Linked DNA regions of Struthio camelus. The protein of the gene in region 1 interacts with the protein of each later gene in a pairwise test. Links are inferred from orthologs where the notes say so. Each region holds a gene or a part of one and is shown in the gene's direction. Other genes may lie near its edges.

The links.
Region 2: the proteins of ARHGEF11 (region 1) and PLXNB2 interact in a two-hybrid assay, tested with the Homo sapiens proteins (2 studies listed by BioGRID). The link is inferred for Struthio camelus from reciprocal best matches to the Homo sapiens genes ARHGEF11 and PLXNB2.

Annotation. Positions count from the first base shown.
Region 1 is NC_090971.1:3,416,552-3,424,197, forward strand, and holds the start of ARHGEF11 (rho guanine nucleotide exchange factor 11), read left to right. Parts: upstream 1-4,645; 5' UTR 4,646-4,774; coding exon 4,775-4,809; intron 4,810-7,646. UniProt on the Homo sapiens protein: May play a role in the regulation of RhoA GTPase by guanine nucleotide-binding alpha-12 (GNA12) and alpha-13 (GNA13). Acts as guanine nucleotide exchange factor (GEF) for RhoA GTPase and may act as GTPase-activating protein (GAP) for GNA12 and GNA13.
Region 2 is NC_090942.1:23,249,688-23,257,341, reverse strand, and holds the start of PLXNB2 (plexin-B2), read left to right. Parts: upstream 1-4,644; 5' UTR 4,645-4,766; intron 4,767-7,654.

The DNA of each region.
Region 1 (7,646 bases):
GAGCGAGGATGCGCCGGTCCCCCGGAGGGACGGCGGCTGGGAGGCCCCGCAGCAGCACGGCATCGCCCCAAGGTGCTGGGTGCATCCCCCCGGGCACTGGGTGCATCTCCCCAACGTGTTGGGTGCATCTCCCCAACGTGCTGGGTGCATCTCACCAGGTGGGTGCATCCTCCCAGGCTCTGGGTGCATCCCCCTGGGGGGGGGGGGCATCCCCCCCAGGCATTGGGTGCATTCCCCCAGTGTGTTGGGTGCATCCGCCCAGGCTCTGGGTGCCTCCCCCCAACGTGTTGGGTGCATCCCCTGGGCACTGGGTTCATCCCCCCAGCATGTTGGGTGCATCCCTCCAAGAATTGGGTGCATCCCCCTGGGCACTGGGTGCATCCCCCCAATGTGTTGGGTGCATCTCCCCAGGCACTGGGTGCGTCCCCCAATGTGTTGGGTGCATCTCCTCAGGCACTGGGTGCATCCCCCCAATGTGTTGGGTGCATCTCCCCAGGCACTGGGTGCCTCCCCCCAATGTGTTGGGTGCCTCCCCTCAATGTGCTGGGTGCACCCCTCCAGGCACTGGGTGCATCACCCCAAGGCACTGGGTTCATCCCCCCAACATGGTGGGTGCATCCCCCTGGGCACTGGGTGCATCTCCCCAATGTGTTGGGTGCATCTCCCCAGGCATCGGGTGCATCTCACCAGGTGGGTGCATCCCCCCAGGCTCTGGGTGCATGCCCCTGGGCACTGGGTACATCCCCCCGGGGGGGCATCCCCCCCAGGCATTGGGTGCATTCCCCCAGTGTGTTGGGTGCATCCACCCAGGCTCTGGGTGCCTCCCCCCAACGTGTTGGGTGCATCTCCCCAGGCACTGGGTGCATCCCCCTGGGCACTGGGTGCCTCTCCCCAGGTGGGTGCATCCCCTCGGGCACTGGGTGCCTCCCCCCAACGTGTTGGGTGCATCCCCCTGGGCGCTGGGTACCTCCCCCCAATGTGTTGGGTGCATCCCCCCAATGTGTTGGGTGCACCCCCCCCCAGGCACTGGGTGCACCCCCCAGGCGCTAGGTGCGTCACCCCAAGGCACCGGGTGCATCCCCCTCGGCATTGGGTGCCTCCCCTTGGGCATTGGGTGCATCCCGCCAGGTGGGTGCATCCGCGGATGCCTCCAGCTGCCCGGAGAGCCGAGGTGGGGACAGCGGTGGCACCGGTGGCCGGCCTGCCCCGGGGCGTTTGCCACGCGCCCCTTTCCGACGAGAGGGTGACGGCGGCCTTGGGTGGACCCGGGAGGAGGGCCGGGGAGCCGCGCCGGGGTGGCGGCGGCGGTCGGCGGGTGCTGCTCCGCCGCCGGTCGCACAGCAGCACCCAGCGGCTGCGGTCGGGAGGGAGGGAGGCCGGGGCGCAGGCGAGGCCGAAGCCGGAGCGGGGCGGGAGGGAGGAGAAGGGCAGCGCGTCCCCCATGGCGCGGGGCAAGGGCGGGCGGGTGGGTGTGGGGGGGGGTCCCTTGGGTGCCCCCCCGGCTGCGACGCCCGGGGCTCTCGGTGAGGAAGAGGAGAAGCGGGACGGGGAGGAAGGCTACCGCCGGGGCGGCCGGAGGCCGCAGCCCCTCACCGGCGCGTCGGGGCGGGAATAAAAAGGAGGGGGGCTGAGGAGTTTCGGGGGCGGTGGGGGTCCGCAGGGGACCCTCGGGAGGAGCGGGGGCACCGCTGGGCCTGGGGGTGCAGGGATCCGGGGGGTTTCGGTGCGGCGGCGGGAGCAGGGGGGCACCGAGCTGCTCGGCCCCCCCGGAGAGCGGGGAGGGCAGCGCCCCCAGAGCCGGGCGCTGTCTATACATCCCCCCATACCCAGCTTGTGTCTATATGTCCCCTGTACTCAGCCTGGGTCTATATGTCCCCCCATACCCAGGTCATGTGTGGGTCCTCCTATACCCAGGCTGTATCTATATGTCCCCCCATACCCAGCCTGTGCCTATATATCCCCTCATACCTGGGTCATGTGTGGGTCCCCCCATAGCCGAGCTGTGGCTATACTTTCTCCCATACCCAGCCTGTGTCTATAGGTCCCCCATACCCGAGCTGTGTGTGGGTCCCCCCATAGCCAGGCTCTGTCTATACGGCCCCCCATACCCAGACAGTGTGTCGGTCCCCCCATATTCAGGCTCTGTCTATATGTCCCCCCATACCCGGGCTGTGTATGGGTCCTCCCATACTGAGGCTCTGTCTATACATCTCCTCATACTGGGCCATGTGTGGGTCACCCCATAGCTGGGCTCTGTCTATACGTCCCCCCATAACCGAGCTGTGTGTGGGTTCCCCCATAGCCAGGCTCTGTCTATATGTCCTCCCATACCCGGGCCATGTGTGGGTCCCCCTATAGCTGGGTTCTGTCTATACATCCCCCCAATGCCAGGCCGTGTGTCGGTCCCCCCATACCCAGCCTGTGCCTACATGTCCCCCCATACCCGGGCTGTATCTATACGTCCCCCCATACCCAGCCTGTGCCTATATGCCCCCCCATACCTGGGTCATGTGTGGGTCCCCCCATAGCCGAGCTGTGGCTATACTTTCCCCCATACCCAGGCCGTGTGTGCATCCCTCCACACCCAGCCTGTTTCTATAGGTCCCCCCATAGCCAGGCTCTGTCTATACATCCCCTCATACTCAGGCTGTGTGTCCGTCCCCCCATACCTGGACTCTATACGAGCCTCCATACCCAGCCCTTGTGTGTGTGTCCCCATACCGGGGCTCTGTCTATACGTGCCTCCCATACCCGGCCCTTGTGTGGGTTTCCCCACAGCTGGGCTCTGTCTATAGATGCCCCCATACCAGGGCCATGTGTGCGTTCCCCCATACCCAGCCTGTGTCTATACGTCCCCCCATACCCGGGCTGTGTGTAGGTCCCCCCACACCCAGTCTGTGTCTATAGGTCCCCTCATACCCAGCCTGTGTCTATATGTCCCCCCATACCGGGGCCCTGTGTGGGTCTCCCCACACCCAGCCTGTGTCTATAGGTCCCCCCACACCCAGGCCCTATGTGAGTCCCCCCACACCCAGACCGTGTCTATATGTCCCCCCATACCGGGGCTCTGTCTATACATCCCCCCACACCCAGGCCCTGTCTGGGTCCCCCCACATCCAGCCTCTGTCTATACGTCCCCCCATACTGGGGCTCTGTCTATACGTCCCCCCACACCCAGGCCCTGTCTGGGTCCCCCCATACCCAGCCTCTGTCTATACATCCCCCCATACCCGGGCTCTGTCTATAGGCCCCCCCATACCGGGGCTCTATCTATACATCCCCCCACACCCAGGCCCTGTCTGGGTCCCCCCACACCCAGCCTCTGTCTATACGTCCCCCCATACCGGGGCTCTGTCTATACGTCCCCCCACACCCAGGCCCTGTCTGGGTCCCCCCACACCCAGCCTCTGTCTATACGTCCCCCCATACCAGGGCTCTGTCTATAGGTCCCCCCAAACCGGGGCTCTATCTATACAGCCCCCCCCACCCAGCCTCTGTCTATACGTCCCCCCATACCGGGGCTCTGTCTATAGGTCCCCCCATACCCAGGCCCTGTCTGGGTCCCCCCACACCCAGCCTCTGTCTATACATCCCCCCATACCCAGGCCCTGTGTGGGTCCCCCCACACCCAGCCTCTGTCTATACGTCCCCCCATACCAGGGCTCTGTCTATACGTCCCCCCACACCCAGGCCCTGTCTGGGTCCCCCCACACCCAGCCTCTGTCTATACGTCCCCCCACACCCAGCCTCTGTCTATACGTCCCCCCATACCGGAGCTCTGTCTATAGGTCTCCCCATACCCAGGCCCTGTCTGGGTCCCCCCACACCCAGCCTCTGTCTATAGGTCCCCCCATACCGGGGCTCTGTCTATACGTCCCCCCACACCCAGCCTCTGTCTATACGCCCCCCCATACCGGGGCTCTATCTATACATCCCCCCACACCCAGCCTCTGTCTATACGTCCCCCCATACCGGGGCTCTATCTATACATCCCCCCACACCCAGGCCCTGTCTGGGTCCCCCCACACCCAGCCTCTGTCTATACGTCCCCCCATACCAGGGCTCTGTCTATACGTCCCCCCACACCCAGCCTCTGTCTATACGTCCCCCCATACCGGGGCCCTGTGCGGGCCCCCCCCCCAGCCCGGCCGCCCCACACCGGCCCTGCCTGCTGCCCCCCCGGTCGGCGGCGGCGGGGCCGGGCGAGGCCGGGGATCGGGAGCGGGGCTAGGCCGGGGCCGGGGCCGGGGCCGGGGTGAGGGCAGCCCGGCGGCGGCGGGGCCTCTCGGCGGCGGCTGTCAGCCGGGGCGCGGCGGAGGCGGGGGAGAGGGAGGAGGAGGAGGAGGAGGAGGGGGGGGGCTGCGCGCCGCCTCGCTGCCTCCCTTCTCCCCCCCTTCCTCCTCCTCCTCCTCCTCCTCCTGCTGCCGCCGCCGTGCGGGTCCGGCCGCCGGGGCCGGCGCGGAGAGCGCGGCGCGGAGCCGCCGCAGGCAGGATGTCGCCCGCGGGGCGGCCGGGCTGAGGGGCGGCGGCGGCGGCTCAAGATGGACCCGCGGCCGCCCGGCTCCTGAGCGCCGCCGAGGCACCGCGCCGCGGGGGGGGGGGGAGGGAGGGTGGGTGGGTTGGTTGCTTTTTATTATTTTTTTTCAGTTTGATTATTATTAATTTTTTTCTTTTTGGTGGCCGGGAGGAAAGGGGAGGGGGGGGGGTTGTTTTTTCGGAGAGGGGGCGGCTGCCCCCCGGCCTCGGGGACACGCCGGGGGCCGGCGCAGGAACCATGAGCGTGAGGCCTCCCCAGACGGCCCTCGACAGGTAGGTCCCGCCGGAAAGTGTGTGTGTGGTTTTAGGGGGGGGGGACACCCCCCCTCCCCAAACCACCCCTCAAACACCCCCCCCTCCCCTCGACGTGGGAGGGGGAGCCCTGCTCCACACCAAAAACCCGCCGTGGGGCTGGTGGTGGAGGGGGGGGGGGGCGCTGGGGCTGCGCTGCCCCACAGGCCTGGGGGGGGGGCGGCTGGGTTGGAGGGGGGGGGATTACATGCATTATTTTTTTAATTTCTTTTTTTTTTTTTCCAATTGCATTTCCCCCCCCCCCCTTTTTTTTTGTCCCCCTTTAGACTGGCTGCAGCCAGTCCGCTCCCTGTCTTGGGTTGCTTTTTTTTTTTTTCTTTCTCTCTCTCTTTTTTTTCTTTTTCTTTTTTTTTTTTTTTCCCCCCCCTTTTCCAGCCGTCCAACTTCCTGTATTTCCACCGCAGCGGGGCCTACTCGCCCGGCGGCTCCAGGCCGGGCAGCCGAGGGGGGCCCGAAACCCAGCGCCAGGCCTGGGCGGCCGGCCGGAAAAACTCGCCTGTCCTCGGAGGAATCCCTATTTGTTCATTATCCTTCGGACCCGCCGTAAAGCGGGGAGATTTGGGGGGGGGGGGGGGGAAATCTCCGCGCAGACCCGCCAGCTCGGCTTTGCTCCCGTTTGTCCCCTTTGCTATCCGCTTTTCGGGGTTTTTTCTCCTTTCTGTGCTTTCAAATCGCTGCCTGACCCGTAAGAGGGTGGGTTTTTTTATTATTATTTTTCCTTTTGGTTTTCTTAGCGGGGGGGGGGGATTGATCGTATAACGTCGTCCCTTTTCCGTAGCTGTTTTCCTTCTGGCACAGCTCGGCTCCCGGCTCGCCCGGGCACACCGGCACCGTGCTAGCAGGTGCTCGGCTTCCGGGCGCCGGGGGGGGGCTTACCGAGGGCCACCCACCGCCTTTGGGCTAGAGCCTTTCCCCCCCCCGGGGGGGGGGGGGCGGAGGGTCTCCGCAGAGCGGCGTTTACCCGCAGAGGAAGAGGGAGGTGAGAAATAAAACCCCGCGGGAAGGAGCCGGTAAGGTCCCTGGCGCTCCTGCGGCGCAGATAAGGCGTCAGCCGTTCCCCCCCCCCCACCCCGGCTTGGGTAGGAGGCTGTGATTTATTTTATTTATTTATTTATTTATTTATTTCCTTTTTTTTTTTTAATTATTATTTTTTGCAAGGATCTGGGCACTCTCCAAACCGGCAGCGGAGCCCGTGCCCTCTGGGTTATTTATGAAGCCTAGCGCAGGGCGCTCGGTGCGCCGCAGCGGTGGTGCCGGCGGCCGCTTGCGGCAGCGCCAATCCGGACGGCGCTGCGATTCGTTGCCGAGGCTGGGGGGGCTCCTAAAACCGTCGTGATCTTTTGCTGTCGGCTCGAGCGATGCAGGGCCGAGCCACTCCCTTTTAAGGCCAACATGGATCTCGCTTAGCTGTCTTAAAACCCCTGCTCAGCCGGAGGGTGCAGATTGTATTTGGCACTCCTCGTTAGCGTGGTATGTAGGTTCTCCAGGTAATTGGAGCTCTCTGCTGGGTGTTGGTCCCCTTGGGCGAGCGGTAGCGTGGATGCGCCGCAGCGGATGCCGCGGCGGTGCAGGTGAGGAACGCGCTACCTGCGCTTACAGGTTAAAATCCCGGCATAATCAGCCCAGACTATCAACCCTTTTTAACTGACGGATCGTCTGACGTATTTGAAGAAACAATCTGTGCGCTTTCATGGCTGCGGGAAGGGAGGGCGGGCGGTGCGTGAAATCAGCATTTGAGTCAACACAAATTTCTTGTCCGAAACATTAATTTTGCTGTTAAAATTGCAAGCGCTCTAACTGGCAGCAGGGTCAGGAGCAAACCCGCCAACCGGGCGCGCATGGTGTAGCGAGGGCTGCCGCCGTCCTGCAGGCGGGCATCTGGGATCATATGGCTCCCCCGTATATCTTGGGGAGTCACGTCTTCGCTAGCAGGGCCGCTGGCCGGGAAATTTTGCAGGTTTTAAGCTTTGGGTTCTCGCTGTCGTGAAGGTCGTGTCCTGCGTGCGACCCTTCTGTGGAGTCGTCCCTAAGCAAATCACTCCGGAGCTGAGGCCGTTCCTCCGAAACGGTCGCGTGAGCAACGCCGGACGAGCTGCAGGTATCGAGCAAGCAGCGCCGCGCCGATCCCCTGGCGATACCGGATGGAAGCGCGTTGGGCTCGCGCGCGGGGAAACGTGAGCGGCGGCGTAAGGCGCTGGGATGTTTCTAGGGAGAGCCAGAGGAGGAACCGTTGCGGGAACCCTCTGGATGCAAAGAGCCGCGGTGGGATGCAGCCGGGGAGTCCCGGCTGGGTTCGGAGGGACATCGTTTGCTGCTCCCGGCTGGGAAACCAGAGACCTGGCTTCCAAATCCAGAGGGATTTCTGGCCTGTCTTCTCCCAGCTGGCAGACTGTACCGCTCAAGGGTAAGAACGGGGTCTGCCCAATGTAGGTATTTTCACTGGCAGGTGCAGCTGAGGTTGAAACTAGCCTGTGGAATGATGTTTTCTTATTAATTCCGTCTGACAGAATAGATGCAAACTGCCTGCGGCTGAGGCCGGCTCTCCCTGCCTATCTGAATCTCTTGGTAGCTCGAATCTGGAAGAGGAGCCGTTGCTTGTGCAGTAGCTCCCCTAGGATCAAACCTTGGTACCTGACGTTAGCCCTAAGCACGCCGATTATTGCCCTGGGATTTCTAAGAGCTTCCCAGAGGTAGGTTCGGGTTGACGACCTCGGGCAAGGAAGCGTGTGGCATGGACAGCAATGCCGTGAACGTCAGAAAGGAGACCCTGAATCACAGGTCTTGCTGCTTCCCAAAGA
Region 2 (7,654 bases), on another chromosome or scaffold:
CCCGACGGGGGTCAACAGCCCAGCTCCCCTGCCAGGGCTGAGTTGGGCCCGGGGTCTCCAGCTCAGTCTTTGAAGGGTGAGACTCAGCCAGAAGTCACGGGCACTTTCCCCACCCTCCCGTTCAGGTGTCAGACACAAGTCTCGGCACTCCTGGGGGCTGTTTGCTCCTTCGTGCTGGCGCCCCAGCAGCTGAGGCCATGCTGTGCGTGGGAGAAAGGGAGGCCAAGATGAGTCCCTCTTCTGGGGGACTGGCGGGAGGCAGGAGGCGGAGGTGGGCCTCTCTTGCTCTCTAGGATTTTCTCCTCTCCGTGGGGGAAAGTGCCCGTGCCATTGCCTCCTCGTCTCTTACGTGCCAAAGGGGCTTGTGCTGGGCCAACCCCCCCCAGGGGGACGCTCTCCCTTTTCAGCCTGGGTTCGGTTCTGGGAGCCCGCAGCCTCCCTGGGCCCAAGAGAGAAGCGCCTCCGAGCTCCCGTGCCACAGGCAAAACAGTTTGGAGTCAGGGAATTTTATCCAGCTTAATTTACTGCCCACCAACACAAAGCTCTGACTATCGATTCCCATATGGAGAAAAAGAAGGACGCAAACCCCTTTACACAGGGTCAGGAACTTTTCCTGAGTCAAGGGAGGAAGTCTTTCCTCCTGCATGGAGAAAATAATTTCCTCATGTGAGGAGGGAAGCCTCTCGCTTCTTCTGCCCCTCCCCAAGCCTCCACAGAGAGCAGTGATGAGAGAGCTCCTAAAGTAATGTATTAAGGATGCTCTGACATCTGGGAATACAAGGACAATCAAAATTTTCTGTACACAAAAAGTGCTATTTTAATCATTTTAAAAGACCTGAAGTTGTTTTTTAGCCACTTAAGTTTTTCTTAGGTTATCGCCATGACCACAAGGCAACAACCTTACTTTCTAAAGGCTGGTAATCAATCATCTGGTTGTTTATCTGCCCATCAGCCCCCCATAAAAACGTCACAAGATATTGGCTGGTTGCAATCAAATGAATGAAAGAGGTAGAAGTCTCAAAGATAATTAAGTTCCCAGGGGGTTGTGAATATCAGTGACTACAGACTCAAATTAGTTTTCCAAAAGAGAGAAAGGCAGGAAGAACTCAGCTGCTGTCTGGCAGCAGCCAGTGGCCACCTAGGTGCAGGCAGGCCACCAACACGCACGTGGCTCGGCACCAGCAAGCACTGCCTCGCACCAACCTAGAAGAGATGTCACACAGAGCATGAAAGAGAGAAGGGAAGGAAAGGTTATAGCGGTGAGTGAGTCAGCCAGGAACCCACAGGAATCCGGGCTTCATTAGTTCTGTTGTTCGCGGAACAAGGTGCTTTTAATAATGACAGCTGGAAATTCTGATCTTTTTATAGGCCTCAAAGGTCTTGGCCATAGGAATGATACTGCACATTACCCTGCCTTAGCTAAAATTGTGAGAATTGACAGAGCTGGGAAAGGAAGCAGGAACAACGCACAAACATTGTCTGAGATATGAAAGATATTAATAGGCAGAGAAAAAAACAGAAGGGCATGCATAGCAATGAGTAGGTGATAACAAGGTGAGGAGAGAAAGAGGGAGCGGGGAAGGAGGAAATAAATAGGAAATTGAAATCTGGACCAGAGTCCTATTCACAGGCAGTTCCATTATCTCTGTCCCTACAATGGAAAGCAACAGAAGAAGGCTTTCACCCTTAATCAGCACACTGCGCATGTGGAAGTGCAGAGTGACAGTTAAGATCTTTGAGATTCTAGGAAGCTGTTAATCACTCTATCATTTACTTGTTGCTCTTTTCCAAGCAACTGTGTGTTTACGATTTTTTTTTTTTGATGAGTAGGGTGATAAGGAGTGGGGGAACAATCCTTTAATAGCAAATAGCAGTTTTTGATGTGCAGCTGTTTATCTGAGTTCACTGGGGAGTTATCTCTCTGTATCACATACTTTGCATTTAGGGAACTGAGCAAGCTGCATGCTTGCTGAATGCCTTGCTACACTTAGAGAAGGATGATGTGCTGGCTCCAAGGCAATGAAGGACCCATGGGAGGCAGAATAGCATCTTGTGAACACTTTGCACCTTCGTAGGCAGGCCGCATGCTGGATGACGTTGCACTGATTCATTTCAGCCTAGGATAACAAAAGTTATCCTGCATATGTTTGGGTCCCAGCTGAGGGGAACAAGGGCTGATATGCCATGCTTTAGCACACCCACACATGCCTAGCAGAAAGGCAACTTATGGAGACTTAGCAGAGCAGATAGATAGCTACCCTAGGATGGGATACTATATGGCCATCTTGAGCTCTAGTTAACTTTACAGTCCCTGTCACAGTAGGCAAGGTCAAACGCACCACAGGTAATTAGGAGATGAAGATTCAGCATGGCCTCACTTCACCAGCTCCTCTTCTGAATTAAATGAACTGTCACCATTGCTGTGTCTGTGTGTGTCTGTCTAGAAACCTAGAAAGGTTTCTAAAGAAATGGCTGTCATGAGGCCACAGCAACAGGAGCCAGAGGGAAGCATTCCAGCCGGAGGAAGCCATGTGGAGTGGCAGGGGGGTTAGGCTTAGAGCTGGGGCACCCACCATGAGGCAGCAGCAGTGTGGCAAGCAGTGTCGTCCTGGTCAGTGGCCACTGGATGGAGCAGGTGTGGGCCCAGTACTGGGCGCACCCCTCACTGTAGGGTGAGCAGGTCAAGAGCTCTGGAGCAGGACGGGTGGGGGGTGACAAATGCCAGAGCCACCAGCAAAAGCCCCTGGGACAGAGCATGCCCGGAGGCAGGGATTCACAGGCTGGAGCATAGGGAGAGATGCCTGGCCGGTAAGTCCAGGGCATTCTGCCAAAAGTTTGGGCTCAATCTGGCTATATGCCCAGAAGTTGAAAAAGCAGCCTGGAAAGTGAGGTCCTACTGAGCCCATTAGCAGCCTGTGAGCTCCTCTGTCCTGGATCCCTCCCAGAGCTTGCAGGACAGGACTAACCCAATTTTCCTAAGGAAGTCTCATCTCCCTTCTCTTCAAGTTCCCCTTCTTTCCTGATGAAACTTAACAGGTGGGGGGGATCCAGTTTTTCTGTCCCAGAATGCGAAAATACTCCAGAACTATGCCAGAGCAGTTCTTTCTCACTGTGCGGTGAGAAAGACTTCCTTACCCTGTCAGGTAAAGAGCAGGAAAAAAGCCAAAGAAGGATGAGGGCCTGCTCCTGGAGGTCAGCAAAAAGCGTGGAGCAGGTTCATGAAACCTGAACCAGTAGAAAGTCTGCCTCCTAAAGGCAAAACCCAACAAAACACCACATAATGTTTGAACGGCTCTAGCCTGCAGTTAGAGGGAGGCTGCACTTTCATGGAGAAGGCCTGAAAGCCACATTTAACATCTCATTGAAGAGCCTGTCACTTTTTACTCTTGCCCAGGCTTCTGAGCTGATTTTTATTTATTTGGAGTTTGTTTTTGTTCTGAGAAACAGGGACAATTTTTCTGAGAAACAGGGACAATTTTTCAGGAACTTGCAGGTGCCATTTGAGAACTGTGGCTTTCTGACTCTCTCTCTTATCACTTCAGTGAGAAGCCTAACACACAGATTGTTTGACAGAACTGTACTCGAAGTGCCAACAGCAGCTTAATTAAATACTCTTTGCCGCATTGCTGGTCCATGTTTGAGGGACAGAAAGCTCTAAAGCCTAAACAATTTGCCGAAAGGCCACTTGAGCCATTCTTCTAAAATATCCCCCTTTTTAAAAGGTAATCCCTATGTTAATTATAGTCAAGACAAATGGGATATCTAAATGTGGAGATCATGTGGTTTTGCACACAGGTGGGGTAGAAAGCTCCAGTTTGCACATTCCTGGAGGAAAAGGAGAAATTTGCACATTCTCTAGTAGCAGTGTGCTTGAGAAGGGGAAAAAAGACCTTTGGAAACAGAGATTATAGGAAGAGTTTAACCGAAAAGGATACACGCTGTACTATTTTAAGTTCACTAACAATTGTGCCGGGGATGTATTTTGGGCTCCTCAACGACAGGACAAGGTATGCAGCAGGAGAGGCGAACTCGGGAGCCCTGGAGTTCCTGTCTCGCTGCTCAGAGGAGGAGGAGGAGGAGGAGGAGGAGGAGGAGGAGGAGGAGGAGGAGGAGTGGAAATGGGTCTGTTCTACTCAGGAGCTTCGCCAAACCACCACCGGAGCAGGCGACGTACCCCAACGCCTTTAACTACGGAAAAACACAGAGACCCTTTCCAAGCGGTCTCCGCTGCCCGGGCCGCCCTGCCCCGCCGGAAAGCGCCGCGCAGGCCGGGGCCGGCCCGTTTCGGCGCCGTCGCTGCGCTCCGCGCCAGCAGCGCGGACGAGGGTTACGCGGAGGCGCAGGGAAGAGGCGGCGGGGCAGGGCAGGGCAAAGCAGCCCGGCGCGGCGGGGCTGCACTGCGCTCCGCGACGCGGCGGGGAGGAGGGCCGCCCCCCCCGCCCCCTCCGCGCTCGGGGCTCCGCGGGAGCGCTCGGCCCCTCCGCGGCCGCGCCGCCTCTGCCCGGCCGGCGGGCAAAACAATGCGGAGACGGGAAGGGAGAGAAAGTGCGGCTCGTTCCTCCTCCTGGCGCTGTCTGGTTTTCGCTGCAGGAGACAGCGCGGCAAGCGGATCCTGACCAGGGGCAGGGGGTGGAGAGAGGCGGAGGAGGAGGACGGAGGGAGGGAGGGAAGGAGGGACGAACGGGAGCCTCTCTCCTTCCCTGGGCTGTTTTTTTCAGTTTCCTGTCTCGCATTGTGCTCACAGCGGATATGTGCTGCGCCTACAGGTGTGTCCCCTCCTCGCAGCTTTTCTCTGGCTCCCCGGCGTAGGCTCGGGCTGTCGGGGGGCGGCGGCGGCGGATCGCGATCGTCATGTGATGAGTGATTTCTCTCGGGGCGGTTTCTCTCTCCTCTCTCTCTCTCTCTCTCTTCCTCCCCTTCCTCTCTCCCTCTCTCCTCCTTCCTCTCGGAGGACTCGAGCGCGGCTGCTGCTGTGGCCGGGGCATGGGCAGCGGCCGGGGGCTGCCGTAGCGCCGGGCGCCTCGGCCGAGCGCGCTGCCGCCGCCCGCTCCGCGCTGCCCTGCGCGGCCGGACCCGCGGGGCGCGGCGCGGCCGCTCCGCCTGGCCGGCTCCGACGGTCCGCGCCCGCGGGGAGCGCTCCTGCCGGCGCCGACACCTGTTGAAGGTAACGCGGCCCCCTCCCTGCGGCTGCGCGCGGCGGGCCGGGGCCGCGGGGTGGCTTGCGCGGCTCCGTCCCTCCTCTTCTCCGCGCCGCCAGGCTGCTGAGCCGCGGGTCGAGCCGCTCCCCCTCCTCGGTGGCCGCGGAGCGGCCGCGGGGCAGGGCGGAGCGGGGACGGCGCGGACGGGGCTTTCCTCCGCGCCCCATATGGCTTTGATTAACCCGCGGCTCCGCACTTCGAGCGCGGTTCCTAACCAGCCGCGCAGCGCTGGGAGGAGGCGCGGCTCTGCCCCGCGGCTGCGCGGCGGCTCCGCGGGCGGCTCCTCCCCCGGGAGCGGGGGCGTCGGTGCCCGGCGGGGCTCGGTCCCCTCGGCTGCAGCGCGGCCCCGGCCGTGCAGCCCCGTTGCTGCTCTCGGGAGCTTCATGCCCGCCGCATCCCGGCGGGGTGGCGAGCCCCGCTCTGCGGCTCGCCCGGTCCGCGCGGGCTCTGGCTCAGGCACGAAGTTGGGCTTTCCTGCAAATGCCTTTTGTCTCTCTAGACAGGCAACGCAACTTTAAACTTTCTTTCCAAGCTGTCGATTAGCTATACTGTACTTTGCTCGTGTTTGGTGCAGGCGAATGGCACTGCGAGGCCAGAGCGCTCGTGACTCAAAGCGTAGTTATTCGAGAGCTGCAAAACACCTCTGCCCTCCTCTGCCTGCCTGGGCTGTACCTGCGACTTTGTGACTTTATCTTCTCTGAGGTTGCGTCAGTCTCTGTGACACCCTAAAACAGAAAGGGTTGGAGGGAATTGTCTGGGTCCTTGAGAGTTAGTCAGACACTTGTGTGAAGATACAAAAACGAGCTGTAAGTTTATTGTGCCTCTGCAGTCTCGCGATCGGTAGCATTGCCTTTGTGGTCTGTGTATTACGATGCTACAGACCTATCCTGACTGCTGAGCTCCGGTCAGAGAATGAAAACTTGCTTGTGAGGGAACTTAATGCTTTTGTAACTAATATTGTTACCTTGAATGTGAGGGTTGTTTAACTTACTGAACACCAGAGGGAACTCTGAATAGGTAATTCATTCAAGAGAGATATGTGCTTATTTTATTATTTATGTCTTCAATACAATGGAATCTAAAAGGAAGCTACGGACAGTAAGTAATAGGTTGCTAGCTACAATTGGCCTGAGCTTTCTTTGCAGTTTCTTTAAGGTTATCAGACTCAAAGCTGGACTGAAAATTCTTTCCTTCCCTTTCAGCATGTGAAATACATCACTGGCCCTGCAGGAGCAGGGCTGTGTACCATGCCCTACACAAAACAGCTGGGTGACCCATTAGCTGTGAGCTAGGGAGCATGATTGTGTGTATGTGTTGGGCCGTCCCTTAACGCTCTGCTTGCCTCTTGGCTTGTGAGACAGGATTTTGTACACTTGGTATGGGACTGCTGGCTGGAGTGGGAAAGCCAGAGCAGAGCATGCTTCCAGCCAAAACAAAAGGGAGGAAGTCTGCTTCCGAGGCTCTAGTGGCTTCACCTCATTGCTTTTAAATATTTGTGGTTCTGAAGCCCTGGTGGGAACCTAATATGATTGAATGTGAACTGGAAAATCATCTCCACTAGAAAATATTATTCAAACCAGTACAGTAAGTAAGTGATGGCAGTGTTTGGAAAAAGACTTTGAATGGAGAATTCTGATGATAAAAGCTGTGTAGCAGATCTTTTTAAATGATCTGATATGACTGGAAGAAGCTGATATCAGCCTACCAAAAGGTGATGCTGTACTCTAATAAAATAAACCTCAAAACACTCACCTGAAGCTTTCAATGCCCTTGATAATCTATTACAGTTTGGGTGGGGGGAGGGAGGAGACATCCAGACCTCTCTGATACTCCAGGTTTTTAAATATGGGAAGGATAACATAATAAAAACACTCATGACTCTGAGTTATGTTCCAGTAGCTGAATCATCCAGCTGTTCATCCTGTCCCTTTGCCAGAGGTTACTTTGCCATTCAGCTACGTTTGCTATTGGAGTTTGAATCCACTTTTCAGCTGCCAGAGTTTACAGCCTGGCATGTTATTGTAAACTGTATTTTATGGCTGTTCACGTTAGCACATAATGTTGTAAAGTCCAGTAGCATGAACATCCTGTTTGTCCCTCTCTTCTGGCAGAGAGACAAGGAAAACAGCTGGGGTCAGCTAAATCCAGCTGCAATCGTGAATTGAAGCCCTCAAGCACCTATCTTTTTTTGAAATGGCGTTTTCCTAGCAAATGTTAGTGGTGACTGAAATGAACTACCTCTGTATTGATGAGTATGGAGAGTGGGGAGGCAGCTCTGCACAAGAAGCGATTGTATAACATTCCTGATGGTTTCATCATAGCAACCAATTTTCTGTGTTTCGGAGGAGTGTAGCAAGCAGTCCACCTGAGCAATCTCCCCCCCCCCCCCCCCCGAAGCATTCTGGGAGTTAACAAGTGAACAATATGTTTTTTCTTTTAGCCAAGCCTTGCTTTGT